4 linked regions of the Caenorhabditis elegans genome follow. The protein of the gene in region 1 interacts with the protein of each later gene in a biochemical or structural test. Each region holds a gene or a part of one and is shown in the gene's direction. Other genes may lie near its edges.

Evidence for each region.
Region 2: the proteins of plk-1 (region 1) and npp-24 interact in a test that uses a peptide from one of them, tested with the Caenorhabditis elegans proteins (one study listed by BioGRID).
Region 3: of the proteins of plk-1 (region 1) and spat-1, one has a biochemical effect on the other in vitro, tested with the Caenorhabditis elegans proteins (one study listed by BioGRID).
Region 4: the proteins of plk-1 (region 1) and npp-1 interact in a test that uses a peptide from one of them, tested with the Caenorhabditis elegans proteins (one study listed by BioGRID).

What each region holds. Positions count from the first base shown.
Region 1 is NC_003281.10:8,099,836-8,106,015, forward strand, and holds plk-1 (Serine/threonine-protein kinase plk-1), read left to right. Parts: upstream 1-1,512; coding exon 1,513-1,758; intron 1,759-1,805; coding exon 1,806-2,405; intron 2,406-2,648; coding exon 2,649-2,975; intron 2,976-3,021; coding exon 3,022-3,468; intron 3,469-3,517; coding exon 3,518-3,631; intron 3,632-3,679; coding exon 3,680-3,892; 3' UTR 3,893-4,234; downstream 4,235-6,180. Other genes in the region: K06H7.1 (uncharacterized protein), read left to right, coding at 1-24, 70-276, 323-463, 506-615, 659-803. UniProt on the Caenorhabditis elegans protein: Required for oocyte nuclear envelope breakdown before entry of oocyte into spermatheca. In meiotic cells, required for spindle dynamics and probably for spindle attachment to the chromosomes. Zygotic role in the development of the germline and nerve cord.
Region 2 is NC_003280.10:5,504,371-5,510,853, forward strand, and holds npp-24 (Protein npp-24), read left to right. Parts: upstream 1-1,721; 5' UTR 1,722-1,795; intron 1,796-1,869; 5' UTR 1,870-1,871; coding exon 1,872-2,024; intron 2,025-2,071; coding exon 2,072-2,138; intron 2,139-2,180; coding exon 2,181-2,286; intron 2,287-2,336; coding exon 2,337-2,468; intron 2,469-2,521; coding exon 2,522-2,643; intron 2,644-2,689; coding exon 2,690-2,978; intron 2,979-3,026; coding exon 3,027-3,188; intron 3,189-3,468; coding exon 3,469-3,846; intron 3,847-3,893; coding exon 3,894-4,080; intron 4,081-4,133; coding exon 4,134-4,331; intron 4,332-4,379; coding exon 4,380-4,480; intron 4,481-4,532; coding exon 4,533-4,605; 3' UTR 4,606-4,663; downstream 4,664-6,483. Other genes in the region: cyp-44A1 (putative cytochrome P450 CYP44), read left to right, coding at 1-19, 65-179, 227-298, 342-566, 611-754, 805-907, 955-1,208, 1,254-1,527; Deoxynucleoside triphosphate triphosphohydrolase sahd-1, read right to left, coding at 4,867-5,097, 5,144-5,269, 5,318-5,584, 5,641-5,773, 5,819-6,204, 6,262-6,483.
Region 3 is NC_003280.10:14,526,202-14,535,397, forward strand, and holds spat-1 (Protein aurora borealis), read left to right. Parts: upstream 1-2,550; 5' UTR 2,551-2,574; coding exon 2,575-2,665; intron 2,666-2,726; coding exon 2,727-2,824; intron 2,825-2,868; coding exon 2,869-2,924; intron 2,925-2,979; coding exon 2,980-3,109; intron 3,110-3,155; coding exon 3,156-3,274; intron 3,275-3,989; coding exon 3,990-4,268; intron 4,269-4,940; coding exon 4,941-5,256; intron 5,257-5,966; coding exon 5,967-6,195; intron 6,196-6,914; coding exon 6,915-7,240; 3' UTR 7,241-7,973; downstream 7,974-9,196. Other genes in the region: F57C2.5 (Strictosidine synthase conserved region domain-containing protein), read right to left, coding at 131-366, 584-637, 817-1,230, 1,494-1,924, 1,979-2,019; C04H5.1 (Multifunctional methyltransferase subunit TRM112-like protein), read left to right, coding at 8,099-8,242, 8,681-8,914.
Region 4 is NC_003282.8:9,855,931-9,863,424, forward strand, and holds npp-1 (Nucleoporin Nup54 alpha-helical domain-containing protein), read left to right. Parts: upstream 1-2,557; 5' UTR 2,558-2,561; coding exon 2,562-2,659; intron 2,660-2,707; coding exon 2,708-2,811; intron 2,812-2,891; coding exon 2,892-2,996; exon of another isoform or gene 2,997-3,441; coding exon of another isoform or gene 3,442-3,667; coding exon 3,668-3,937; intron 3,938-4,175; coding exon 4,176-4,357; intron 4,358-4,413; coding exon 4,414-4,593; intron 4,594-4,643; coding exon 4,644-5,037; intron 5,038-5,131; coding exon 5,132-5,310; intron 5,311-5,360; coding exon 5,361-5,558; intron 5,559-5,605; coding exon 5,606-5,815; 3' UTR 5,816-6,181; downstream 6,182-7,494. Other genes in the region: K07F5.12 (Transmembrane protein 144 homolog), read left to right, coding at 88-214, 263-459, 1,236-1,507, 1,554-1,804, 1,848-2,056; K07F5.14 (NUC153 domain-containing protein), read left to right, coding at 6,294-6,518, 6,633-6,741, 6,794-7,287, 7,337-7,494.

The sequences.
Region 1 (6,180 bases):
CTTGACGAGCTTTTTATAGACTTGGTAGTTAAAAAATTAATCTGAATTCCGCGTATTTTGATATTTCAGAAAGCAAGCAAATGTATTTGTAGTTCGAATGAGCTTTTGAACATTCCAAAAATCATCGTTAGAAGGCTTTTTCTAAAAATGGAATCTCTGGAAATGTTGGAGTGGTGGATTGAAAGAGTTGATCCGAACTCTCTAAATGAGCTGTGTATTGCTCCTCATGGAGAATATCCACTTGATATTCCGTCCAAGATATTTGATCTTCCACATGTAAGTATGTTTATTTTTGAATATTTTTGGTACAATACATTTTCAGTTCCAAAATTGCAAAACACTGAGTATTATGGAGCACTGTTCTTTCTCAACCGACCAATTTCTAGCATTGTGTATTGCAATTCCAAATTTTTCTTTTTATTCGGACAGAATTGATGAAAATATAGTTGCTCATGCGATAAAGGTATTGAAAATCATCATGGAATGAAGAATTGTTATTTTTCAGAAACGTCTCAGCTTAAATGATCAATTTGTTGTCCTAGAATGGTTTTTCACTAAACACGTGAATGTTGAAAAAGTCACAGGAGATTTGAAGTGTACGAATTATGATAGAAAGTGAGCAGAAAACTGATGTTAGGCAAACTAGAATTAATTTCAGAGAGCGCTTTGATGTCAAAACTGAGTGCTTCGAGCCAGTTGATGTATACAGTGTTCCAGATGAGAATAACAAGAAAACGTCCTTGCTGGTTTTGAAAGATTCAACTGACAATTTCAAACCGTATAACATTGTTGCGTTTTCATAATTTTATGTTTTGAGATGCCGTCTTGGAAATATAGTGTTTTTGAAGCTAAATATCCTATCTCATGTATTAAATAAAATTGTTATAGTATCTCTTTCCATCCATTTTAATCGTCAAAGAAAGGCGTGTAAACCACGAAAACTTACCACTAATCCAAAAAGAGAAGCTGCCTTCTCTCCAAATGACGGTAAGACGTGGAAGACACGTGGTAAAAATGTATTACGTACGCCATAAAATATACGTATTAATCCATTTAAAATTAATTTTTCTTTTATTAACATCTGGCATCGTTTAACACACGTGCAAATGTTCTGTTACAAGCCCAAAAAGGTTCGTTGCTAATTTTTAAAACATTAATGTACAAAATTATTGCAGAAAGTACATTGAATAATAAATTTTTCAATTTTTAAAACCGTTTTTTAAATCAATGTCTCCGTGATATTTATGTTTGACCAGAAAATGTTTGATCGATGACAGCGCGCTGTTTTGTTTAGCACCCTTTTTCATCGGCGCGTAAATCGACACACGGTTCGCTGCGAGACCTGCGCCCGCCAAGCATCAACATTCGAATTTGCCGTCCGCCATTTTCGTCCTAAAATGACTTTTACCGATTCTTTTTCAAGTTTCCAGCTCGCCTCTTGTCATTTTTAGAAATAAAAACGTTTATTCAATTATTAATACTGAATATTTTAATTTTTGTGTTGCATTTCAGATGAATCGACTTCCCAACATTGCAAAACCCCCACAAAAGTCCAACCAAAGAAAGGAGAAGGCTCCACCAGAGGTTCCCGCTCTCATCGCCGACAAGGATCGTGGGACCTATTATGAGAAAGGACGATTTTTGGGCAAGGGAGGATTCGCTCACTGTTATGAGCTTACGAATCGAGCAACACGCGAGGTTGTCGCTGGAAAAGTGGTTCCGAAGTCGATGCTCGTCAAGCAATACCAGAGAGATAAGGTAGACAATGAACGAATCTTAGTTCAGTGCATATTACGATTTTTCAGATGACACAAGAGGTGCAGATTCATCGAGAGCTTGGACACATCAATATCGTGAAGTTATTCAACTTCTTCGAGGACAATCTCAACGTGTATATCACTTTGGAGTTATGTGCAAGACGGTCGCTGATGGAGTTGCACAAAAGAAGAAAGGCGGTCACCGAACCTGAAGCTCGTTATTTCACTCATCAAATTGTGGATGGCGTGCTGTATTTGCATGATCTGAACATCATTCATCGTGATATGAAGCTTGGAAATCTTTTCCTCAATGATGATCTAGTTGTCAAAATTGGAGATTTCGGATTAGCAACAACGGTCAACGGTGATGAGAGAAAGAAAACGTTGTGTGGAACGCCAAACTACATAGCTCCGGAGGTTTTGAACAAAGCTGGACACTCATTTGAAGTTGACATTTGGGCAGTTGGATGCATTCTGTACATTCTTCTTTTCGGACAACCACCATTCGAGTCTAAATCGCTTGAAGAGACATACTCACGCATTCGCCACAACAACTACACCATTCCGTCGATCGCAACACAACCAGCAGCAAGCCTAATCCGCAAGATGCTTGATCCTGAGCCAACACGTCGTCCGACTGCCAAGCAGGTAATTTCAATAGTTTTGAACTGGAGTGAAAATCATTTTAGTATTATCGGAGATTCGAGTTTCATCATTAGAAAATTTGTACTTTTGAATTTTATCGTGAACTTTTATTGAGAGATAGTTCACGTTCAGTTTGATTGCCCTTCGTTCTAATTAGTAAAGAGATCGAAAACAATTTTTAAAAAATCAGTTCGAATATTTAAATAAGTTATGAAATCTCTTCAACTCGGAATGAAAACCCTACAGGTTCAACGCGATGGCTTCTTCAAGTCAGGATTCATGCCGACTAGACTTCCAGTCTCCTGCCTCACTATGGTGCCAAAGTTCGGAGGACACGAAACTTCGATGATGGAGGAAAATGTTGCTCCAAGAGGGGTTGATGCTCGTTCACAACGCCCATTGAACGGAAGAGCTGGATTGTCTGCCCTCCCACAACACATCGTGTCGAACAATGCCGATCGTGAGCGTGCTCAACAACAAGCTGCAGAGGCGACTTTCCGGGAGCCCGAGGATGCATACCTTTCACAACTTTTCCACCAAGTTGCTGTGCTCTTAGAGCAGCGTATTCCAGGGGTAAGAATAAACAAGAGGTTTTTTTTAAATTAAAAGTTTGTTACAGCTGGAAGAAGAAGAAGCTGCTCTTGATGGTTATCAATCACCAGAGTGCCTCCCGGTTTTCTGGATTTCGAAATGGGTTGACTATTCGGACAAGTATGGCATCGGATATCAACTATGTGACAATTCCGTCGGAGTTCTCTTCAATGACAATTCTCGTATCATGCTTGATCAAGCTGGAAACGAGTTGACCTATATTGAGAAGAGCAACAAAGAGCACTACTTCTCGATGCACTCAGGTGAAATGCCTGGATTGCTCAACAAGAAAGTCACATTGCTTAAGTATTTTCGATCCTACATGAATGACCATTTGGTGAAAGCTGGAGAAGGATCTGAACAAAGAGCTGGTGATGACTTGGCTCGTTTACCAACGCTTCGAGTTTGGTTCAGAACCAAATCAGCAATTGTTTTGCACCTTTCCAATGGAACTGTTCAGATAAATTTCTTCAATGTAAGCAAATTCATAATTTAATGGAAACACCCAACAATATAATTTTCAGGATCATGTCAAGATGATGATGTGCCCATTAATGCAAGCAGTTACATTCATCGATCAAAACAAGCGTATGCTCACCTACAAGCTGAACAATCTTCAGCGCAATGGATGTCCAGAGGTTTGAATCGCCATTTCAGTATCAACAAATATAACGTATAATTTACAGAAATTCCTTCACCGACTGAAGTATGCGAAGACAATGATCGAAAGGTTGATGAGCGATGCTAACGTTGTATCCCAGAATCCAGCTCGTCAACCGGATATGCCACGGTCAATGGCAGCTGCTCGTTCAGCTTCGGCAGGATCACGAGGACCAAATCAAGCTGCATCGCACCTTCCCCAGTCGGCAAGTGGATCCAATATTCACCCACGTCGATAGATCCGTATGTGCTCTTTGCCACTTCCATGAATTTGCTTACATCTCCTGATTAATTCCAAGAAGTATTATTCTATACATTTAACCCGTACTCTTCATTTATTGTTGCTGTTTTTCATCGACCCTTTTAGTCCCATGTTTCAGCATCCAACATGTCTTTATTCCCCGTCCTCGATCTCCCGTAGCTCATTTCATTGTAAATACTGATGAGACCCGCTGTAGCCCTTTTTCATTCGTTTGTATTCATGGGCGAGGCGATTTTTATTTTGCGTTTTTATTTCTTTTTGCTAATTGAATCATCTTTTTTTGGTATTAGTCCCACGAAATAAAACGTACCGATGATTATTAAACTGTATTCTTCATTTTTCCAAACTTTCTCGACAATTTCATTTTTGGTAGATAGCAGCACATTGGGAAAAATCAAGTTGAGCTGCTCATCTGCCTCAACTTTCCATTTCAGAATTTTCGAAAAAGCGTGTATAATATTTACTGATTCCGAGACAATTATTTGAACATGATTGTTACAAAGATCACGGTCGCAAAGTAACAAATGTTCTGTTTAATTACTTGCCACTCTGAACAGTTTCCGTCACTTATTTTATATCCAAACAGGTTCGATTCCAAATAGTCTCAAATTATGCCAATGGGATCTGCTTTACTGTAACAGTTGGACATAAACTGTTATATGAAATCAAAAATACAATAGTTTAAATTGTTTTTGCTCTCTGCTTGAATTTTGGATTTCTAGAGATCTAGAGCAGAGCTGAGCAGCCGGCCAAAAAAATCGGCGATCGCCGATGAAATTTTTTTTTCGGCGATCGCCGATCACAAATTGCCAAAAAAAAATCGGCGATCGCCAATTGCCGATTGCCGATCAGTGTGCGTCTAATTTTTTTCAATTTTAAAATCCTAATTTTAAGAGCTCTTTCAAATAATTTTTTATAAAAACAGGAATATTAGGCAACGAAAAGCACTCCTTGATACCTTAAAATTCGAAAAGTAGTGAAAAATAGTCCGAAAATATACCTTCTTCCTTCTTCAGAGGGGTCTATCTTGGACTATAAAATTTCATCGGCAATCGCCGATCGCCGACCCGTTTTTCCCTTTCGGCGATCGGCGATCGCCGATTGCCGCTCACCCCTGATCTAGAGACCATCGATAGCGCATCATCGTCAGACCTGCCTCTTCACCTATGCGTAGGTAGACCTACGACCACCGTTTGATCAACCACAGATGCGTCTCGTCCACAGTAACTCGTTACTTTGTTATATTCTTTTTGATATAATATTTTCCCGTTTCCTCTCGCCCTTGTTTTGTTGGACCCAATGTCTATTTGTTTTGTTGGTCCCATCCCCTATAAAAGGCTTTCTTGGATGTTTTTCCCACGTTCTTATCTTTTTATCCCTGTTCCCTAAGCCCTTTCCCCTTGTCGTTGTTTCTTGTTGTTCCCCTCATAAATTAATTACTTATATAAGACAACTTTTACTAAGCAAACGCAAAGTTTAAAGATTTTTGCGCCAAAAATACAGTACCCGGTCTTGACACGACATTTTTGTTAAATACAAACGGAAGTGCGCCTTTAAAGAGTACTGTAATTTCTAGCCTTAGTTGCTGTGGGATTTTCTTCGATTCTTCGTGGTTTCTCTCACGATTTTTGTTTAAAAAAATCTAAATATGCGTTTTCAGTTGTTTTATTTTAGTTTTGTAATATATAAAATTTTTTAAATGAGAAAGAAAAAAAAAAAAATTTTTAAATGAGAAAATCGACGAAATTCCGCCGTAACATTCTACTGGTTGCATATGTAATCCTGAATAAAAAGTCAAACATTGAAAAAAAAAACAAGAAATAGGATTGAGAAGGATCTTGTCGATTCCTTTACAATCAGGTGTATAGTTTGATTCTCTCGATTTTCCACTAACATCTACAGTTTGAACTTTATCTTCAAATTCGAGGGGTTTCGGAATGAGGGAACTGAGGGGAACCGGTCTAATTGAGAGATTTCAGAGAATGTTGCATTTCATGTTGAATGACGCTTCTTCTTCTTCCCCTTTTTGAATGAATAACAACTGTTGTCCAAGAAAACGCCGACGGACGACGCAATTGATGGATCGAAGGAGGGTGAATCCGTGTCGCCGCGGAAGACGGTTTGCCATTAGAATTGTCTCCTCTTTTTCTCTCCTCATCATTTTCCATGCATCACCCCCAGCTTTTCGCAACAACGTCTATGTTACCCGTTTCAGATATGACAAGACATAGAGAAAGAGAGAGGAGGGTAAGGTTCTACAGACAG
Region 2 (6,483 bases), on another chromosome or scaffold:
GTTCATATATTTGATCCTGGTAGTTGAGTTATTCGATTTTCTAATTCAAATATACAATTTTCAGCTGATGTTCAAACTGTGTTGGCCGCGGACGGAAAAACTCCATTTATTGTTCCACTTCAAGAAACAACACAAAAATATCGAGAAATGAAAGGAATGAATCCCGGTCTTGGAAATCTGTAAGAATAAACATTCGAATATTGATATCAGGATAATTTTATTACAGAAATGGTCCTGAATGGTATCGTCTGCGATCTTCAGTTCAACACGCAATGATGAGACCACAATCGGTTCAAACGTTTGCACAGTTTTATGATCTCAAAACCAAATTCTCATTTCAGATATCTTCCATTTTCTCAAATTGTGTCAAATGATTTGGTTTGTCACGTGGCAGATCAACAGAAAAGATTTGGACTTGTAGATATGCAAAAAGTCGCCGGAAGATGGTCACTCGAATCTGCTGGTCAAATACTTTTTGAAAAATCTCTTGGATCTCTAGGAAATCGATCGGAATGGGCCGACGGACTTATTGAGCTGAATAAAAAGATTTTTCAATTATCTGCCAAGTTAGGTTAAAGCAAACTTATGCATAATTGAATTAGATTTTTAGAATGAGACTCGGTCTTCCGATATTCCGTCTGTTCTCAACACCTTCTTGGCGGAAAATGGTAGATCTGGAGGATCAGTTTTATTCAGAAGTCGATCGCCTGATGGATGATGCTCTGGACAAACTGAAAGTCAACGATTCTGATAGGTTTGCACTTTAAGACTGGGAAAAGTTTTTACATATTCAATATACTCTAGCAAAGATATGAGGTTTGCAAGCTATTTGATCAACAGGAAAGAATTGAATAGACGAGATGTGAAAGTAATATTGCTGTCAATGTTTTCAGATGGTCTGAGCACGGTAAGCTGACTGTAACTTATTAAAATAATAAAAAAAACATTTTTTAGACTGCACCGATGCTAATATACAACCTATATAATCTCGCAACACATCCTGAAGCACTAAAAGAAATTCAAAAAGAAATAAAAGAAGATCCAGCATCTTCCAAGCTTACATTCCTCCGTGCTTGTATCAAGGAAACGTTCCGAATGTTTCCAATTGGGACTGAAGTTTCAAGAGTCACCCAGAAAAATTTAATACTGTCCGGATATGAAGTACCTGCTGGGACAGCTGTTGACATCAATACAAATGTTCTAATGAGGTATGCAATTTTAAAAATCTGATCACAATTAATGCTACATTTTAGACACGAAGTTCTGTTCTCTGATTCTCCCCGCGAATTCAAGCCTCAACGATGGCTTGAAAAATCGAAAGAAGTTCATCCGTTTGCTTATCTTCCGTTCGGATTCGGGCCACGGATGTGCGCTGGTCGACGATTCGCCGAGCAGGATCTACTAACATCACTTGCCAAGCTGTGTGGAAATTATGATATTCGTCACAGAGGAGATCCAATAACTCAGATCTATGAAACTCTTCTTCTACCACGTGGCGATTGTACCTTTGAATTTAAAAAATTGTAATTTTTCCATTTTAGATCAAAATATTAAAATTTTTCTTGTATTTTTACTATTCTTCTGTATGATAAATTAAGCTCGATATTATTCTTGTTTCTTGCTTCCCCAGTTGGGCAAATGATTTACTTTTGTTCAAAGATTTATTTCTAAAAAAAAGTGAAATTGTAATTAGGTTCATGCGCTCCATCGACACTCGACAGAGAGACGGTGGAGACGCAGAAATTACCAGACGGAGAAGTAAATTTTCGAATTGAATTAGTTTTTCTCTTTTAAAGTGGGTTTCCTTCATTTTTATATTTTTATTAACGAAGTATATTAATTGAAATTTCATAAATAATATATTTTCAGCCATGCTCATCACCCATCTCATCGATTCTCTCAGCGACAGAGCTGTTATCACTCCCTTAACTCCAACGAGTGTCATTATTTACGATAAAAATGAATTAAAAGTTTATGTCGGATTCACAAACAATCGTAATAGCTTAGAATACACAAAGGAAGTGGTTAGTAGTCGTGAATTATAATTTTTTGGTATAAAACGTGCTTTCAGGTTCTTCTCCTGTCGACAGAGATTCCAAAGAAAGCGGAAATTCGTGAAATTATTGTTTCTAAAAATGGTTTGTAATTAAAAAATCTATGAAAATAATAAAATTTTTAAGGCGACTATGTGATTCTGGAAGGTCCGAGAAGTTTATTCGTTGTGAGAATTGGCGCTGAGATTTTAGTGGCAAAACCTGATCGTTTGCCATCTGAATGCTTTTGCGAGTGAGAATATAAAACATTTGATATAGTAATAATATAAATTCAATTTCCAGATGCTACCCTCTCCACGACAGTCTTCTTCTTCAGAATATTTCGCTCTCGGTCGTTAAAGTTCGCCTTTTACCTGAGAAATGTGACGAAAAGACTTTCGTGACCGCAGTTCTCTTCTCGGATAACTGTATTAGGTTTTTCTCGAGATTCTCGCTGATAATATTTTTTCTAAAATTTTAATTTTCAGATTCTACAATCTCCAGAAAAAGTTCGATTCTCTGCTTTTAGCGGTTGATTTTCGAAATCATCTTCACCAAGTACACGATGAAAATGTGGCAAATAACACATTTGGACTTCAGAAGGCATTAGGTTTGTGTAATTGAGAAAAGTGCTCAATAATCTATCAAATTTACAGTTTCCTTCGATTTGATTCCTCCAAAACCGAATACTTCGCATTTTTCAATAATTTCCATTGATTCCGACTGTGATTTCTACACTTCATTCGTCCATTTTTCATGTTTTAAAGAAGGTTATGCTCCTCGTATTCATCGTATTGAACCTGTCGACGGACTCCCATGTGATCCACTGGATCTTCGATACATTCAAACTACAAATCCTCGAATCTGTTCGGTTTTCGTATTGGTGTCTGGTGGTGGAGTTCTTAGTCATCTAGTCGTTTTTCCAAATGAGTTCGGAGAATTTCGGTTAGTTTTATTTTTCGAAAAGTTTTTTTTTGAAACAATTTTTTTCAGATTTCTTGTGAAGGATCAACTTCGTCTCCCATCATCAAATGGCGATCCAAGAATAGTACAAAATCAAATCAGATCATTGAAAGTCAGCAGATATGAAATTGCAACATCTTCTAGTCTTTTCTCAGTCAACATCTTCCCCTGGTTTGAAGCTTTGACTTCTATGTACGTTTTTTTACAAACGGCTGTGCGCCTTTAAAAAGTACCGTAGTTTTAAACGTTCGTTGCTTCACCGATTTCGCATAGTTTCTGATTAAAGGTTTATTTATTTGCTTAAAAAACTAAAATAAATCAATCAAAAACACATAAACTTCGACAACTTGAAGAAAATTCTACGTCAACGAAAGTTTGAAACTGCTGTAATCATTAAAGGGACACAGCCATTTGTAGTCGTGTCAAGACCGGGTACCGTATATTTAGATCAGATTAAACAATTTTTTTAAAGCTCGCCAACATCTACTCTTGAAAAGGAGACTCGAGTTTCCGAGCTTGTCGATGCAGTTATTCCATCTGATGAACTTTCGAACACTACTAAATGGACTGGAGCTCGTGCGCTTCGTGCTGTTTCAGTGCAACTGACACAGAGCCTGGCAACAGAGGAAGAAGAATTGCTCCCCGAATCTGAGAATATCATGCATTTGGTGATTCTTGAAAACAAAGATGGTCAACCTGCTCATTTATTCAACATCTCCACATTTGATAATATATGGTCAACTGAAAATAAGACATCTTTTGGAAGAGATTCGGTGTCCCAGCCACCTATGAAAAGTACGGGCTCTTTGGAGCAGCAACTTGCTGCTTTGAAACCACTTGCAGCTTGCGTGTAAGTTCAAATTATTCAAGTTTTTATTCTTAATTGTACTAATTTAGAATCTCCGAAAAAGTATCATGCGAAGAGGCAATTGATGCCGCTATGAAGTTTTTCGATGCAGTTGATGAAAGATTGAAGAAGCATTGTGAAATCTCAAAGTTATTCGTGGAGAGATGTCTCGCAGTCTCTTCAAGTGCTCAAGCTCTTGATGAAAAGCAACAAAGTGTGGATCAACGACTGATTGAGGTAAATAAAACTTTTTTTTGCATATTGTTGATTTATAAATACATTCTTTTCAGGAAACAAACACTGTCGAAGAATTGAAAATTCGAATGCACGAAACAAAAGAAAGAATGGAAGGTGCGCGAAAAGGAATCAATGTGCTATTCCACCGGGTTGACGAAAATGTCCCATTAAGTGACAATGAAATTCGAATTTTCGAGCGTCTCAAGGAACACCAGAAAATGCTCTCGGATATGACAAAACTAGTTCCGAAGGTGACCAGTATCTTCAAATTATACACAACAATAAAACTATTTTTACAGATGACATTAGATTCGAATGAGATCCACCGAATGGCCAATATAGTGCTGAAAAAACGTGGAACAGGCGAAGAGCAGAACAGATTTGCAGCTGTTGAGAAAAAGTGAGATTTAAATTCAAATGGCAATGTTTCAAAAATATCTAAACATTTGCAGTGCTACCGAAATCGAAAGCTTGGAAGCTCGCGAGAACAAACTGAATACCGGAATTTCTGAGCTTTCTATCTGAAAGTTAATCTTATTGTAATGTTTTGATATTATTGTTGTTGAATGAATCACTGTTTCCATTCCTTTCTTTATTAAAAAAAAACAGCAAATAGAAAGGCAAAATTGCATACAGAAAATGCGAAAACTTCTAACCGTTTCTTCTTTGTAAGAAGCTAAGATGTGGTACCAATACAGAAAAATCATTGGGTGAATGTTGAGCAGGAGGAGGCAGTAAAATGTATAATTTGATGTGTATATGTAAAGTACATTTAAAATATGATTATTATGAGCTACCAAATTCGAGACGACGTTTGGCAGTGGAGCAGCTCGATGAAACTTCATCAGGAGAATCTTGCGGAGATCTTTTTCGTGGGGTCAAAAACTTTTCAGACTCCCCAGCAAGTTGAAGTGCACGCTTCACGCGATCCGCTAACAGTGGCTCTTTCCTCAAACTACGATCTCCCATCACGAAGATTTCCCATTTTGTGGCCATGCGAGGGCAATTGTTGATAACCTGAAAAATTTCTAAATGAAACAGACAAGAAATTTGATAAGCATACATAATCTTCAGATGGATAGAATCCGACAACTTGTTTCCCTTCATGCTCACTCGGTTTTCCATCGTAGAAAATCTGACGTTCGATTGGATGAGTTTTATCGTCCAAACCTCTACCAAGGACGGAATGCTGAAAATTATATAATTTTGCTCAGCACCAGGACGGAAATAATCTTACCATTACAGTGAACTGAATATCCTTCAGTTTTCCATCCATTTCTTCAGTATCATCCATTTGCTCCAAAATTTCTTTCATCTTTTGTCCAACTTTTTTGACAACTTCTGCAGCTCCAGTCTGATTGTTGCAATTCCCCTTCAACTGCGTCGCATTTTCTGGATTCATTTCAAAATAACCAAGCTTGCAACCGATTTCTCGTCGCTGGATTTTCAATAGAGCTGTCTGAGCTTCAATCATTTTTGGATCCGTGATCTGGGAGTTGAGAATCTGAAATTAAAAAAAAAAACTAGTTTTGATGTTGTTTAGTTATCTTCTCGCAATACCTCCTGCTCTACATAATCCGTAGTTTTCAAGAAAGCATCAACGTCTTCTGTGACATTCTTCAGTGAGTATAGTTCTCCATTTGATCCCTTATACTTCAGGAAGTCACCTGCATTGATCAGAGCATCCACCATTCTAAAATATGAATATTTCTTGTTGTAAAATAAAATCAGGCTTTACAGTGTTTCCATGAATCTAACGGCTTTATGTTGATAAACTTTCGAATGAAGTTCTTGTCGTGAATCGCCGATTGCTTTCAAGTCTCCGATGCATTTGATAGAGTAGGCGATTCTCTTCAATCCACTATTCGGATCAATTACTACACGGACATGATTGAATAAACGTTCGAGTGTTGATTCACTGAATGTAATACCAACTCCCGATGCTTTTGAATCTCTGAGCAAATAATCCATTTTGTCGACATCATGTCCGTTATAAGAATTGGAGACAACGTCGAATAGAAATGATTTTTCTGGTCCACAGCCAATGATAGCCCATTCATTTTTGACTGTTTCCTCACGCACGTCAGCAGGCAAATCTTTAAATCCGTCCATATCTTGGAAATCCTGAAAGAAAAACAATTGTCATCAAATATCCTATTTTGTCAATTACAAACCACTTACAAATGGTTTTCCGCTGATAAGTTCTGTGATAAGCGTAACACTTTTTGCATACTCTTCGTCAGTTTCACCAAGAATGCAAGCAAATTCAGATTTTATTTCTGGTTTATTCATGATTTTCTTGATGATTAAAATAGACATATCCTCATGCTTGAATCTGCTTCCATTGCGTTTTGCGAATTCTCCATCAAACAGATGAGAGAATGGTCCATGTCCAACATCATG
Region 3 (9,196 bases), on another chromosome or scaffold:
AAAATCCTGCAAAAAAGAAAATATTTATATTTTTAAAAGTGAAAAACTGGAATATGAAGAAGTATCACAAAGGCAAGGTGTCCGAAACTATTGATTTTCGTAAATTAAATTTTAATTTTCAATTAAAACTCTACAATTTAACTTTAGCAATATAATGATCCGCAAAGCTTCCTATATACAAATGCCCGTTGTGTTCGGTGACCTGGGACGCGTCGCCCACGTGTTTTCCGGTGACGTCATGCAGACTTCTGACGATTTTTCCGACGGAATCGAGCTCGATGATGATGGAATGCGGGTTTTTGAAGAGACCGAGAAGTGGTTTCCAGTAGGGTCCTGGCACGATGTCAACAAGGAATTGCCGGATTCCTGGAATTTTGATTTTTTTAAAAACTTTTTTTAAAACTAGGTAGCAATTTTAATTTCGGACGAAGCTTCAATTTTCTGGTGGAATTTTTAAAATTAGAAACTTTTTTACATGATGGTCTCGCCGAAATAATCGAAAAAATCAATAATTATGTAAACCTAATGATTAAACTGGGTCTCGTGACGATTTCTAATTTTTTTTGTAAAAAGAAATTTTTACCAGGAAGACTGCCGAGCCGGTCGAGAAGAGATGGATGAGTTGCTGAGCGAGTCGCTGAAAATTTGAAATTGTTAAAAATTTTTTATTTTTTTTAAATTTTAAACAATTTTAGGTGAATTAAACATCTTTTTAAGAAAAAAAATGTTTTGATTCGAAATTCAAATTTTCCGATTTTTCTTTCAAAATTTCGATTTTTTTAATTCTCGACTTTCGGCAGGCAGGTAGGAACGAACCTGTAAGTCCAACCCAATAAGTTCCACGGCCACTGCTACGAATATTATCCGGAAGGCCTGGCAAATTGGCCGCGAACATTTCCACTTTTTTCGATGCAATCGTCAATTTCTTGATTCTCGCCATACTACATTCCGCGAAAATCACAGATTTCTTATCCTCCGTTAATTGAATTCCATTGGGAAAATACAGCTTATCAGCCAACACTTTTACGCTTTTTGTCGAGATTTTCAGATGAAAAATGCGTCCGTCGGCTTGATGTTCGAGGATTGCAGCCATAAAATGCCGACGGTCGTGACGTGTTGAACTATCCGAAATGATAAGCTCATCCTCTGAAATTACGTCCAAATCGTTCAAAAATCGAGGTTTTAGACCATCGATTGGCACCTTTGAGTCCAGGATTTGTGTGGAGATTGCTGGAAAAATTGGAGAAGATTTTCTGTTTTTTCTAGAAAATTAAAAAATTTTTTGAACAACATAACCCAGTTTTTGCCATTTGGAATTCGAAAAAGTGGTAAATTTGCAAGAAAAAGAGATTTTCCATGAAAAATAGAAAAATTCAGGAAAAACTATTTTTGATAGCTAAATTTGAAGTAAAAAACAATATCCAGAAATTTCAACAACTGGAAATGTAAAATTCTTGGATTTGTTTGAGCGAAATTCCAGAAATTCCACATACGATTTTGCTCATCGGTAAAATCGACAATGTAGACTCCCAAATAAGCGTCACAAACGACGAATTTCGGTTTTCCAGCCACAAGTCGACGGATTCCAAGAGGCCGTCCACATTCGGGCTCCGTATCGAAATGCCCGCAGTCTGGGAAGAATTTCGACTTTTCCGAGTATGAAGCCTTGCTCACAACCCGGCCGTCAACGATTTTCAGCACTTTTGCATCATTAACAGACACATAAATCGCCTCATCATCTACCACCATAGATTCGGGTCCAACAATTTTTCCGTCAAGGATGTGCTCGGCCTTTTCCAGACCCGCATTTATAAATAGGTTGCCAACGAGTGCTGGCGGGGGATCAAATCGATATTTTCTCGCCGAAGTGTTCTTCTCGTCACTGTATCGGTAGTAGAGAGCTCCCCAGGAAAGCAGAAGTCCGCTGAAAATTTGAAAATTAGAAATAATTGTAAATTTTTTTAGAAAAAAAACCTACACAAAACCGAAGAAGAAAAACTTTCCCATCGTTTTGCACATAAACTGCGGTTCGATTACCCTGAAATGTTAGAGAATAGATAAGATGTTTATCGCATTTTTTCGGGGAACATAGATTAGAAAAATAAAAAATATTTGTGTGTTTTTTGAACACAAAATTTGGAGTTTCTTGAGGAGACCTCACAACTTTGTGTTTTGTAGACATGAACTCTTCGGGAAAACGTTTAATTTTATGACTATTCACGTTAAAAATAATTAAACTTTTACAGTTAGAACTCTGAAAAAACTAAAATTGCAAATATGCTAAAAATGTTGCAATTAAAAATGTATTTTCACAATAAGTGTATATAATTGTTCCGGTAATTATGATTTCTCAGGGTTATGTTAGGTGTGGTGGCTCAAACTACGGTGCGTGTTTGTGTGCAAACACCGCTGCGTACCATGTATTTTATTTTACGACAAGCAATTTTTTCTTCTTTTTTATATTTTCTAATGTGATTTTCTTTAAATTAAACGCTACTTTCCGTGATTTTATTTTATTTTTTCATTAATTATTAAAAAAAATAATTTTCCAGCTATTCGAGCACTAGAAACTAGATGGAATTCAATGTCTCGTCGTTTTGCGAAGGGGAAGAGTCTAGACAACTCAACAGCACCGCGTTAGAGCATGATGAGAATGGGCGAACCGGTAATATCGATTTTTTTAAAAATTTAATATAAAATATTTAAATTATATCTTAAACTTACAGCTGAATGGAAGGTGTCGCCAATCGCCGCAGAGCGTCCCAGCAAGATTTTTCCGAACAAAGCGAGAAGCGGGTTCAAAACTCCGCTAAGAAGCATTAATGTACGAATGAAAATTAGAAAAATCTCTAAAAACCTGATTTTCAGACTACTGACCCGTCAACTTCCGGATATGACTCTAAAAGTATCACACCACAGCAAAAGTGAGCTTTTTTAGGACTTTAAATTATATTCTAAGCCTAAAAATCCAATTTGCAGCGATCCCAAGCTCTCAATGTCTGCAGAACTTTCATCATTCATAGCCAACAACAGCCTAAACCCCTTGGACTCGATTCTTCTCAATTCCCTGCACAAATCCATCAACTTCAGCCCTCGCGTCGTTTTTTCTGTAATTATTTACGATTTTTAAGAGGAAATTCTTGTGTTTTTTCCAGCAAGAATCGTGTAGTCAGCAGAAAGACAGCGAAAAATTTCAATGGAGCATCGAACAGTTGGCCATTTTGAAGCCCGCGCATATTTCAGACGATGAAATTGCGGCGAGCTATCGATCACCGTAAGGAACGGGAAACAACTGAGCACTTTGTGCGAAGATTCTAGGAAATTGGCTGAATAATCCCGATTTTTTCCAATAAAATCAGTTTTTGTCCTGAAAAATGGAATTTTTTTTAGCAAAATTTCAAGCTTTTTAGATGAATATTTGATTTTTTTGACGCAAAAAAAAAACGCCAAAATTCTGAAATCTTCAGCTGATTTACATACCTTTTTGAATTAAAAAAATCTAATTTTCCGCCAGTTTCTAATACATTTTAATACTAAAACTCTGAAAAATCACAAGCTGTCGGCTATGTTTTGAATTTTTTTTCGAAAATCCAATTTCGGCCGGAAAAACGGGCCTTATTCTTATTTTTCGCTTGAAATTCATTTTCTACAGCAAAATTTTCGGTTTTTGGAGTCTGAAAATTAATTTTTACCCCAAAAAGTTAGTTTTTATTCAGTTGTCATAGAAAACGGCTAAAATTCCCAATTTTTTTTCAATTAAACAACCCTTTAAAAAATATTTTTCAACTTGAAATTTGGCTTTTTATGCCAAAAAATCCCATTTTCCAGCAGATTTTCATAATTTTTTAAAAATAAAAACCCTCGAAATTCTTTATTTTCAGGCAATTTTCTGCTTGAAAATTCAAATTTTCCTCCAAAAATTTGGCAAATAATCCGATATTAGCCTTTTTTTTCTAATATTTATCCAAATTTTTATATATTTTTTTCAGAATTCCCGAGGTGGAGGAGAAGATTCAGGAGGTGCTCAACGAGTATTGGACGAAAAATGTCAGTTATATTCCATCTCCAGACGGTCCCCGATACATAAATCTATCACATCGTGATGGTACAGTAACCACGTTCACTTATGGCGCCGAAGAGAATGCCACGTCATCATCGGCTCCAGGAGCAGCTGCTGGAACTCCTGCATCACTGGCGAATATTGTACGGAAAAAGGAGGCTGTGAAGGCCGCCTACGCCACGTCATCACCCAAACAAAGGCCTAGAAAGTATGGAAATTACCGGAAAATAACGGAAAATTCAAAAAAAAAAGGATTTGTTGAGAAAATCCTTTAAAGTTAAAAATTAAACATTTTTTGCGTATTTCTACTGAAGAAAACACATAAATTTTCATATGGAATGTAATTTTTCGGTCTGAAAAAAAAAAAAGTTTTTGTAGAATTTCCCCATATTTTGACGAAATTTTAAAGGAAAATATCTTTTTGTAAAAAAAAAAAACATTTTTGCATTTATAGCGGAAAAGTTTGAAAAAATTTGAAAAAAACTAATTTTTCATAATAAAATCAATTTTTCTTCGAAAAATCAGAAAAAAAAATCAAAGAATTTTAGTGCGCTATTTGAAATTTTTACTTTTTTCACTGTGATATTTCACTAAAATAGTTTAAAAAGCGTCAAAAATTGAACAATTTTTTTATTCCACTGGAAAAAATTGAACAAAAAAAAATTGCGAACAATTTTTTTGTGGAAGAAATTGCCAAAACTGGAAATTTTTAAATAAAATTATCAAAAACATGAAAATTTTGAAAAATGAATTTTTCACCAAAATTAAAAAAAAACAAATGTAGTGAAAAATGCACTACATTTGTGCCGAATTTGTTCAAAATGCGCGAAATTTTCCTGAAAAAAATTCAGAAGTTGAGCCCTATATCATTTCGAAAAAGTTTCAGGAACATTCGCCAAGTTCGAAATCGTCCAGCACAAACCGAGCTCACAATTCCCCCGAATTTGGATTTGGACCTGAAAAAGTTGCTCGGCGAGCAATTCGTCTATCAGCCAGACGAGGAGGACGAGGAGGACGACGAGGAAGTGTTCAATGTGTCGGTTTCATCGAATTTCTCCACGCGACGACGGTTATTCTCTGCTGGTGGAACGCCGGGAGCTCCGAGAGATGACGAGGATGAAGCTGATGACGTGGAAAATTCGTCGATGCTCTCTAACGATGATTTGATGCTAAATGAGACGAATGGACAACATTTTGTACGATTTTATAAACAATTTTCGATGGGAATTGCTGGAAAAAAATTTTTTTTTTAAATTGGAGAGAAAAATTAGTTTTAGACGCTATTTTTCTGAAAAAGCTTAAAAATTAAAATTTATCGAAAATAGCAATTAAAAAATAAAAAAACCTTTTTTTTGTGAAATTTGAGCAATTTTTGGTCAAAATTTAAATTTTTTTAGATTTAAAAAATAAATAAAAACTAATTACTGAAAATAAATATTCAAAAAAAAATCAAAATTCATTTGAAAACTCGGATTTCACATTTTTAAAGATTTTCGTATTCAAAATTTAATTCAAATTTTAGACGGGAATTGTCAACTTTTAGTTAAAAAAATTATAAAATTTTGGGAATTCGACAAAAAAAAACTATAATTTTCAAAATGCGCTTTTTAAAGAATTAGAGAAATTTTATAGACGCTTCTGCATATTTCAATTTTAGCTAAATTTTTTTTCCAAAAAGCTGATTTTTTTCTAAAAACTAGCTAAAAAATAAAACTGTAAATTTCAAGCGAATTTTGAAAAAATAAATCTAGTTTTGAGTTTTTCTGCATTTAATTAATTTTTTATTTACCAAATTTCTCTCTCAAAGTTGAGAAAGCAAACTTTTTCTCGAAATTTCACTCTAAAATGACAATCAAGAAATTTGGGGAAAAAACTAATTTTTGATTAAAAATTCGCAATTTTTCAGAACGACTCGCTCTCGCCAGTACGTAAAGACGTGACAGATGACATTGATGAACCGGAGACAAGTATGACAACTTCCGGTGCAACTGCATCACAAATTGCAATTAATATCTCGATTCTCAATGATTGTATGATGAACTCGATTGACGAAGAAGAAATTGATGGAAATGAGGAAGAAGGGAAAAATGAAGCTGTTCATCATCAGCACAATGTCTTCTCTCATTCTCATTTGGGTACGGTCGTTTTTGAGGAAAAATTGCGGATTTATTCATAAATATTATTTTTAAAATAATTTTAAATTCAGAAAATCCGTAAAAAATTTTCGGCAAGATTTTTATGCGGAAAATCTTTTTAACAAACGGGAAGAAAAACCGGAAAAATTACATTTTGATACTCAATGTTCCAGTCAAGATCCAATTTTTTGTTTTTCCCAAAAAAACCCTCCAAAAATGAATTTTCATTCAATTTCTCCTCATCTGGCACATTGCCAAGAGACTTTAGAATACTCCTCCTGCGTCTCTAAATCTCTCGTCATCAGCTGCTGCTTTTCTCACTTTTTCACCTCTTCATTCTTCATTCACAACACCCCTTTTTGCCTTTTCATTCGATTTTTCTAGATTTATTAAATTATATTTAAGAGTATTCTATAATTTGACAAGCAAAAAAGCAAATTTAATTTTAAAAAATTAGAGAAATGACTGGGAATTATTGAAGTTTGGAATTATATTTTTAAAAAAACCCCAGAAATTTGAAAAATATCCTTAATCTCTTCAAAAACATTTTTTTTAAATTAAAACTTTAAAAATTTAATTTTAAAAATTTTCAATCTCAAGGTTACTGTAAGGGTTACATAAAATGCGAACAAATTTTTTGCCAAATTTAAATTTTCCAATCTGAAAAAAATTTCCAATATTTTCCGAATTATCGTCTCAAAAATCTCAAATTCTTCCAGATGCCAACGAATACGAGATTCTCGACCGTTCTTCTTCATCCAACGCGACGCCACGTCACGAGGATCTCGACTGGACGCCACGTCGATTTCCGGGCTCGGCGAACAGCAACCCAATGCTCCGCGGGATTATCACTTCCGGAGGCAGTGGTGGTGGCGGTCCACAAGATTTTAGACGTTTTGTGTTCGACATGTCGCCGATTCATCCTAATCATAATGCTCCTGGAGCCATGAGAACTCCGTTACAACGGTGCCATCCAGTGAATTTGCCACGTGGCAGGCTGGATTTGAATGATGACGACGAGGAGGACGAGAATACAGAGAAATAGACGGAATTCGAAGAAAAAATCTCAATTTTTTAAGATTGAATATATGCCTCGTGCCACATGAATTTTTAAAAATTTCGAAAAAAAGATTCAAAAAATTGAAGAAACCTGTAAATTGTATTCGTACAGAAAAGCTGTTAAAATTTTAAAAAATGCGGCTGTTTTTTCGAATTTTTGCAGTTTTTTGACGGAAAAAAGTTTTCTGAAAAAATGATAATTTTAAAAATTTCACCCTTGAAATTTAAAAATTTCAGGTTTTTTTTAAATTTAGGTTTTTTCAGAAATTTTCCAAATTTTTTGGGCAAAAAAATCTAAAAATCAAATTTTCTGACTTTTTTTTCAATATCCACGTGGCACAATTTCTGTCTCATTTCCTGGTTTTTTCCCTAAAAAATTCAATTTCCATATAATTTTTAATTCCATCTGATCTTCATATTGCTTGTATCATTTTCTGTGATTTTTATGTTCTTTATGGCTTCAAAAAATGGTCCAAAAGACCTCAAAAAATCCTGTACTGATTCGTTCCATATTAATTGACATTTTCAATATCTAAAAGTTATATAGTTTTTCTCCTTCTTTCTGTTCTTTTGATCCAACTTTTTCGTGTCTTTTTCCTGTGTTTTCTGGTTTTGTCGACTGGTTTTTTGCCTAGTTTGGGGCTTTTTTACTACACTTTCCTGTTTTTCTTAACTTCCCTGATTCGAGCTATCAAATGAACACACTTTGTACCCATTTATTGAAATGTTTTCTTATTTTCCATATTTTTAATGTGTTTTTGAGCACTTTTATCATATTTATCGTCCTTTAATCCTTTTTTTAAGTTTCAAAATTTCCATAAAAACAATTTCCAATTTTTTGCAGATGAAGCTCTTTGTGCACAACTTCATGTCTTCCCGTTTTCTGAAAAACGTCACCGTTGGATATCCGCTTAATTTGGTTGTTAAGCAGTTTGTCGAGAAGGATATCGAATTCGATAGGGATAACACCATCGTCATGCTTGACAGGGTAATAATATCGGAAAATTTCTGAGAAAAATTGCAGAAAATCTAGGGAATTTAGTGAAAACATTGAAAATTTCCTCTCGAAAATTGGTTTTTTGTTGAAATTCGATTCATTTTCTATAAATTTATCAAAATTTCAAAAATTCTTCAAATTGCATTTTTTTCAGAATTCCAAGGAAAAAAATTAACTCAAAACTAAAAAAAAAATGAATTTTAAAATTGATTTTACCAAAAACGTTTCCTGAAATCTTAATTTTATCCCTTTTTTTTGTAAAATTTATAGTTTTTCTTCATTTTTCCTTGAAAAATTGAATTTAGAAAAAAAAATTGTTGAGTTTTTTTAGAAACTGAAAAATAACATTTTCACCAGTTTTGCGTAATTAAAATATCGGCATTACAAAGAAAAAAAATGAATATTCAAACAAACAATTCAATTTTCCAGATCCAATACGAAGCGCTCATCGTCGCCGCCGCCGCAGTCAATCAATCCGACCGGATTCCACGTGAAAAACCGGAAAAATGGGATGAGCTGACCGATGAGCAGCTCAGAGTGTTCCATCATTTGCTCATGAACATTGACGTCATCGACGGAGAACTCATCTGCCCGGAAACCAAGACGGTGTTTCCGATTCGTGATGGAATTCCGAATATGTTGAAGGTCGACGCCGAGAAGTAGATCATCATTTCGCCGTTTATCTTAATTCCTACTTTTGCTGAATTTATTTAATCTGGAAATTTTCTGGAGAAAAATGTCTGAAAAATTCGAAGTCGCCCTGAAAATTCAAGCTTTTTGAAAAAAATTGTTTTAAAAAAATCAAAAATTCTCCAAAATATGAAAAAATATGTTTTTCAAAAAAAGACACGTTTTGTAATTTTTTAAAAACATTATCGAAATTTTTCAGAAAAAACCATTTTCCGGAAATTTTTTTACCGGAAAAACCAGAAAATTCGTTTTTCA
Region 4 (7,494 bases), on another chromosome or scaffold:
AGGTTGTTAGATTCAACAATTTGTTTGAAATTCTACAATTCAAACATTTGTAATTATCATGTGTAACGCAAAAACTTTTAGGTAACAATGAGCTCTACCGTAGCTCCTACGGTAGATACTTCACTTCAAATCGTCGGATACGTGGCACTTCTTCTTTCTTGCTGCGCTTTTGGAACAATGTTTGTTCCATTGAGAAGAAGAAATTGTAAGGATGGTGAGTATATTTTGGATTATAGAAACTTTTTTAAGTCGAAATTTTCAGGATTTTTTGTCCAGTGGATTGAATGTGGAGTTGTATTCATTGTCGGTTGCATCTTCTACGCAGCACGTGGATTTCCAAAATTCGAGCCAATTGCGTGTATTGGAGGATTTCTTTATGCAACTGGAAATGTATTCAGTGTGCCAATTGTTGAAGGAATTGGGATGGGAGTTGGATTCTTGATTTGGACTAGTCTTCAGGTTTTTATTTCATTTTATAACTTGTCGCAGGGGCTGGAACTTTTGAAAACCAAAAAAAAGTGTTGGAACAAAAAATATCGGAGGAAAAATTATGAAAACCGCCATAGACGTAGAATTCAACCCACGATAGAATTTTTCTGCGACAGAATTACAGTTGATTTCAAGAAAACCAAAAAATGTTGAAAAAAAAGAGACCCGAAGAACTCGGGGGATGTCCAACTGGGGGGATTACCAACTCGGGGGATTGGCCCCGCCCACAGAACCGTGGCTTGCAATACGCCCATTTTTGCAACTGAATTTTTGCAACTAAAATTATTTTTTCTTGTTAATTCTCGCTCTATTGAGAAAAATACAGTTTTAAAACCGTGCGGCAGTTGCAGAAATGGGCGTATTGCAAGCCACGGTTCTGTGGGCGGGGCCAATCCCCCGAGTTGGTAATCCCCCCAGTTGGACATCCCACGAGTTCTTCGGGTCTCAAAAAAAAGGTTTTTCAAAATAATTTTAATCTAAAATTATTTCTTGAATACTTATTTGTGGCATGAATTTCAATTGAATACTATCAGAGGTTTTGGAAATGTGATACAATTTTTTTGGTTTTCAAAATTTCCAGCAATTGCGCCCATACCGTCTACCTCGTTATTTTCGGAATTTTGGCGGGAAGACGCAGATTGCCTCAAAATGCAGGCAGGCGTTTTGTGTCTACGCGGAAAGCTTACTCTGAAACATACTGAAACTACTACTACTACTCTGAAACTACTCTGAAACTCTTCTTTAAGATTATTGTCGGATGGGGAGTGGCAAGATTCGGGCTGTTCCAATGGATTGCCCCGCAGAATGTGAAAAATGATGTGTTGAACTATATTGGAATTGCATTGACAATCGTGAGTGGAGTTCTTTTGATATTCGTGAAACACGTGGAAACGGAGCCAGAAAATGAATATGATGTGACCAGCAAGGAAATGGAACATCAAGAAGAGATTGAGCAAAGACTCAGCAATTCAGAAAGAGATTCTTCATTTGATATGGCTGGTTTGGCAAAGAAATTACCGTTCGTTGGGCATGCTTAGAAATTTAAAAAAAAAACGAATTTTCAGTTATATCCTTATGGCAATGGTTCTTGCGTGTCTACATGGTTTGATGATGTCACCGATTGAATATTTGAAGCAACAGAATCCACCAACTGATAGTTTCCAAGTGTTTGACTATATTTTCCCATTCTACACATCAGTATTCCTCTTCTCTACACTGTATTTCTTCGCGTATTGTGTAATTTTGCGTCGAAAAGCCTACGTGGAAAGGAATTTGATAATTCCATCGATTGGGTACGGTATTTTATGGACTACAGGTAAGAGATGCGTGGTCGATTGTTCAAATGTTTAGTTCTTCAGGAATGACACTTTGGTTTGTCTCCAGTGATAAATTATCTCAAGTTGTTGCCTATCCATGTACCGCCCGTCTTCCACCGTTAATTAGTGGAGCTCTTGATGTATTTGTATTCAAGAGTATTCAAGGAACCCGATCATATGCTACGTTGGCAATTTCTTCTGTTATTGGTGTCATTTCGGTGATTATGATTGCTTTGTCTAATCAGATTTAATTAGAACAGAACCGAACGATTTATTGATCTCATCTCAAAATGTTGTATTATATTTGAAATAAAGTATTATTCGTATCGTTTAAACGATCGTTTGGTTTAAAAAAAAAATTTTTCAACAAAACAACTGGAAATCTAAAGAAGTTACTATTGATATCTTTTATATCGAAATTCAATTTAAGAATTCTTGATTAAAATGAGTTATCAAATTTTCGCAAAATACGAAGTAACTGAATACCTGAAACATGCATTTCTTTTCACGGTTGAATGTTCTTCGGAATATGTATTCTTTCATCTTCGAGGAGGGTGCCAGCAAACGCGCCCCTTCGTACACAGACAAAATTCGAAAAAATTTGCACGCCAAAGCGTCCCCAAAAATCGATTTAATTCGGCTCATTGTCTTATTTATATTATTATTTTCATTCTAGAATTCTCGCATTAACTACATATGTGTTCTTTTTCTTCTCACAAGCCCCATTTCTCTTAAAAATCGTTTGTTTTCAGCGAAATGTCACTTTTCGGGTCATCTACTCCCCAAAAACAGGCATTTACGTTTCCAACGCCGAATGCTCCAACAACATCGTCTGGAACTTTGTTTGGAAGCACGTTAGTATTTTAAGAAGTATTATTTTTATACAAAAATATTATTTTCAGAACGCCATCAAAGCCTCTGTTCGGTTCAACTGCTCAGGCTTCATCAACGCCTTCGCTTTTTGGAACAACAAATACCTCTACTCCTTCTGGAGGATTGTTTGGAAGTAAGTTTGATATTTTTACTTTTACACAACTTACTTCGTAATCAAAGTTGCATTTTAAACCGAAATATATTAAATTTCAGAGACAGGCACTTCAACTACTACCACTTCAACTGCTGGAACTTTGTTTGGTGCTGCTCCAACCACTTCAACAGCTACTCCAAGTCTTTTCGGTGCTTCTACAACCGGTAAGCTACTCAAAATTATCGATATTTTCGGTCACTTCTACTTAGTTTATACTATTAGCTGTTGTGTGGTCTCGTTGAGAGAAAAGCTAGACAATGATAAGGAGGGGAAATCGATAAATCATATTGATCGAAGTAATACATTTTGGACCAAAAAATTATATTCTAAATTCCAGCAACAAATGAATGAAAAAAGAAAATAGACTCAATATATTTTTTGATCTGACAAATTATTTGACCTACCAAGGTTCTACTTCTGTGATTTGCGCTTAATTTTTATTCAAAATTGTTATTTCTCTCCTATCGCTCTACTTCTCTCGTCGTCATTGTGTTCGTTACCTTCACTTTTCTCTGTCGTGGTCGGTGTCGTGCGGATTTCTTTGCCTGTTCTTCTATCACCCGTGTTGCTCTTTGCTACTCGTTTTCTTCGTCTCGAGCGTCTGCAGAAATGTTTGCCCGACGTGGGGGCATCACCGGAATCAAAGCAGAAGACATGCCGAAGAATCTTCCAAATCTTCCCGATTTACCTACGACATCAGCATCTCAAGCTCCAGCCCCAGCAACCCAGAATGTTAGTTCACCAGCCCGTCGCAATTTGTTTGGAGCACCCAATGACGCTAACCGCACGCTTTTCACAAATTCTCCGGCATCTGGAACCACTTCTGGAACTTCAGGACTCTTCGGAACATCATCAACGACATCTGGAGGTCTCGGCGGTATTGGATCCACACAACAAACTGCCAAATCACCCGTTGCCACAAGATTGGCAGCATTCAAATCAGGAACTTTGGGGGCTGGTAGTCTTTCTGGTAATACTCCAACATCTTTTGCCACACCATCTGCGTTACCAGGAACTAATGCCCCACAGTCATCTTTTCTATCACCGGCAAACAACTTGAATGTGGCTCCAGCAGCTTATCGTCCTCCCTACTCAACATTTGGAGGTTGGTATTCATCAACTTTGTATTAGCTTTTCATATTTCTAGAATTGAGTAGACTTGGTGGGTCAGATCAAAAACCGAATAAAAAAAAAAAAAACTAAACCTAATATTAAATCTTAAAAATAATTAATTTAGATATGTCTAATTAGCTTTAAAACATTGCTTCAAGTATTTTATCGTGAATCTGGAATATAATTGTCTAATTAACGAACTTTGATAATTTTGATGGCTCAATTTTCAGGATCGACCCCATTCGGAGCAGCGTCGACTGGAACAGCCGCGGGATCAACGCTTTTTGGATCGAGTACTGCAAAGCCAGCTACAGGCGGATTTTTTGGTTCCAGCTCAGGGTCTACTCTTGGTGGTCTTGGAGCAACTCAACAACAACAACAGCCTGTTGTTCAGCAGCAACAAGTTATTCAGGTAATTAAATGAATCTTAAGAATATCTGAGCGCTTTTCCAAATAAAATTTTTTCAGCAGTATCACCCATTTGTGAAAGCTGTCGGAGATCCAAAGCTCTTTGGAAATGATAATGATGGAGTTGTTGCTAAGTTGAATCAAGTTGCTGCCGGTTTGGGTGTCGGAAAAGCTCCATACAAAGATGGAAATCAGCTTCTATCGTTTTCAATGGAAGGAAACTTGTTTGAACGATTTGTTGTAAGTTTATTTTATAAATCACTGAAAACTTGCACAGTGTCACGTTTCAGGGAATCGGATACAATCGTATTTCGGAGCGAACCGACGATGAGGGATTTGTAACTTTGGTGCTGCGTCATCCTATTACAAACTTGAACACAGAAGAACGCCGTGACAAAATTCTTGAAATTATCAAAGCTATTCTTGGTGGCGGACCAAATGTAGAAGTTCGATATGCTCCTGGTACTTCGATGAGAACACTTTCTGATGGATGCACAGAAATCTGTATTATCGCCAAAGAAGGCGGATTTGTTGCAGGAGCTATTAAACTTGCTCAAATCCTCAATGATGCTCCAAAAATGACCCAATTAGAATCGCAGTTGCAAGTGGATAAAACAAGGGTTCTTCCTAAAGTTGGAATGTCGAAAGCACAAAGAGATAGATATTTGGAGACAGTTCCTGATGGTTAGTTTACTCGTTATTTTTACTATGTTTATCATTTATTAACAAAGATTTTCGTTTTCCTCCCTCGCATTGTATCAAATTTCATTCATTTCAGGAATCGATGAGCGTATTTGGAGACAAGCAATCAAAGAAAACCCAGCTCCAAACAAACTTCTTCCTGTTCCAGTACGTGGATGGGAAGCATTAAGAGACAGACAGAAGGCTCAAGTTGGCGAGTCGAAACTATTCCACGAGGCAATTAATGCATTGGGAAATCGTGTTGAAGAAGCTAATGTAAGTTGTTATAACTTGATGAAAGTTTACAAATGTCATACATATTTCAGCATGAACATGCAGATGCAGTTGTTAAGATGGAGATTATTCGTAATCGCCATAAAACTCTCTCGTACAGAATTGTTCGTGTTATGCTTGCACAATGGATTGTATCAAGATATTCACGTCAAATTGACACTGATGAGGATGTAATTGAAGCTAAAGCTGATACACTTCTTGCCCAAATGAATCGTCATAATCAAGTGAAGGTGAGAAAAAATTATGATTTAATTTTGTATAAAACAATTAATTTCAGTTTTATGTCGACAAATTCTACGAGATTTTGGAATCAAAACCGGATAAACTTCAAGAATCAATGTGGAAAATGTTTGATATGACAATTGAAGATGAACACTATGCTCGTAGAGTGCTTACCAAATTTGTTAATATTTGCTCTGGCCTTTACGAGTCAACACATCAACAAATCGAAAGTCTTGAAGCTTGTAGAAGGGCTCTAGAAGGATAATTTATTTTTTAGAAAAGATTTTCTGAAAATCTTTTTTTCAGATTTTCTCGTATTAATTTAAAAATTCGCTCATTTCTTTTGTATCATCATTATTTTCTTTCAAACTCTGACAGGTTTCTGGTTATTTCTGTTTCGACCTAAGATGTGTGGCAGAAAATTGTTTTTAAAACTTATACATATTGAGCAAAAAAGCTCGCTTTTTTCTATGTTCGCCTGTCATCACGAGTACATTTTTTCATAAAATATGCCTCATTCTTGGTTGTAACTGTTGATCTGACCTCCTCAAATTGTTAATTGTCTTATTTCACACACTGTTTAATAGATTGAATTAATTCATCTCAAACTTCTATCTAGAATAAATTTGATCTCCATTTTTCTGTTTGAGTTTTGTCAAATAACGGTTGTCTCCCGTTCGAATTTCTGCGATTTTCAAATAATTAGAATCACATAAAAACTATTGCAAAATGTATCTCAGAAAATGGACGATGAAGACAATGATGAAAAGAGACGTCAACGTTCAGATGAAGCTCGTCGAGCCGCGATGAGGCAAAAAATTCAAGATCAGAGAGAAAGAGATCGTCAAATTGCTGCTGACATTGCTAATGTTGACAAAAAAACGACAAAACGCATTGTATTTGAAGATTCGGATGATGGGGATGATCAGGATGAAGAAACAGAAAAAACAGCCGCGAATGGTGAAAAGGTTGGAAGTTTTTCAATTTTTTGAGATAAAAATCTCTTATAACAGCAATTGCCCGATTTCATAAAGTTGTTTGCTGTAAAGACAATACTCGTAAACTAAGTTGGAATAATTCAGAAAACCTCGCGCAGTTCAAAACGTCCAAAACTCTTCGATTCTGAAGATGAAAACGATAAAGATGAGGAGGAAGATTTTGAAATCAAAAATAGACACTCTGGTCCTAAAGGTATTGTCTAAAATTAAAATAAATTAAACCAAAACTATTTTTCAATTTTTAGGCGAAAAGCTGATGCACCTAGAATCACGTTTCAATAGTGATCCCCGATTCAAATTGGACGACAAGTTTGCAGAAAGTGATTCTGATGAAGATGGAAATATGGAGCAGAGCTCGGAAAAGCAAGAAATGAAATTAGAAAAAGATAAAAATCGAGAACTTTTGTCTAAAATTCTAGGAAAAAGTGTCGAAGAGAAAAAACCAAATACTATAGAGTCTTCAACACTTAAAGCTCGACCATTCACTCGTTTCGATCCTGAAAATCCTGAGCATTTGGAATGGATGAAAGCTTTTGAAGCTTCGAAAAATCCACAAAAAGTCAAGAAAACTGAAGAAAGTACAAATTCGGACGAAGATGGGAATGGAAGTGACGAAGGAGACGAAGATTCAACTGAAAAGAAAAAGGAAGAAGTCGTTGAAAAAGACGAGGAAAGCGGTGATGAGAGCTTTGAGAAAGCTGAAATCTTTTTCAAAATGGATGACGCGTTTTCAGCTGAAGTGAGTTTTCAACAAAAAAAAACATTTTTCACACAAAAATTATTTTCAGATGAAAGAACGAAAAGATGGTGATGATCCGTCAACTGGAGGTTTCTCTTTTTTATCAATGATTGGAAGAAAATATGATGACGAAGCAGTTGAAGATGATGGAGAAAATTTAAAGAAAATAGAACCAACACAAAGTAAAGCCGAACCGTCTGGAAATGT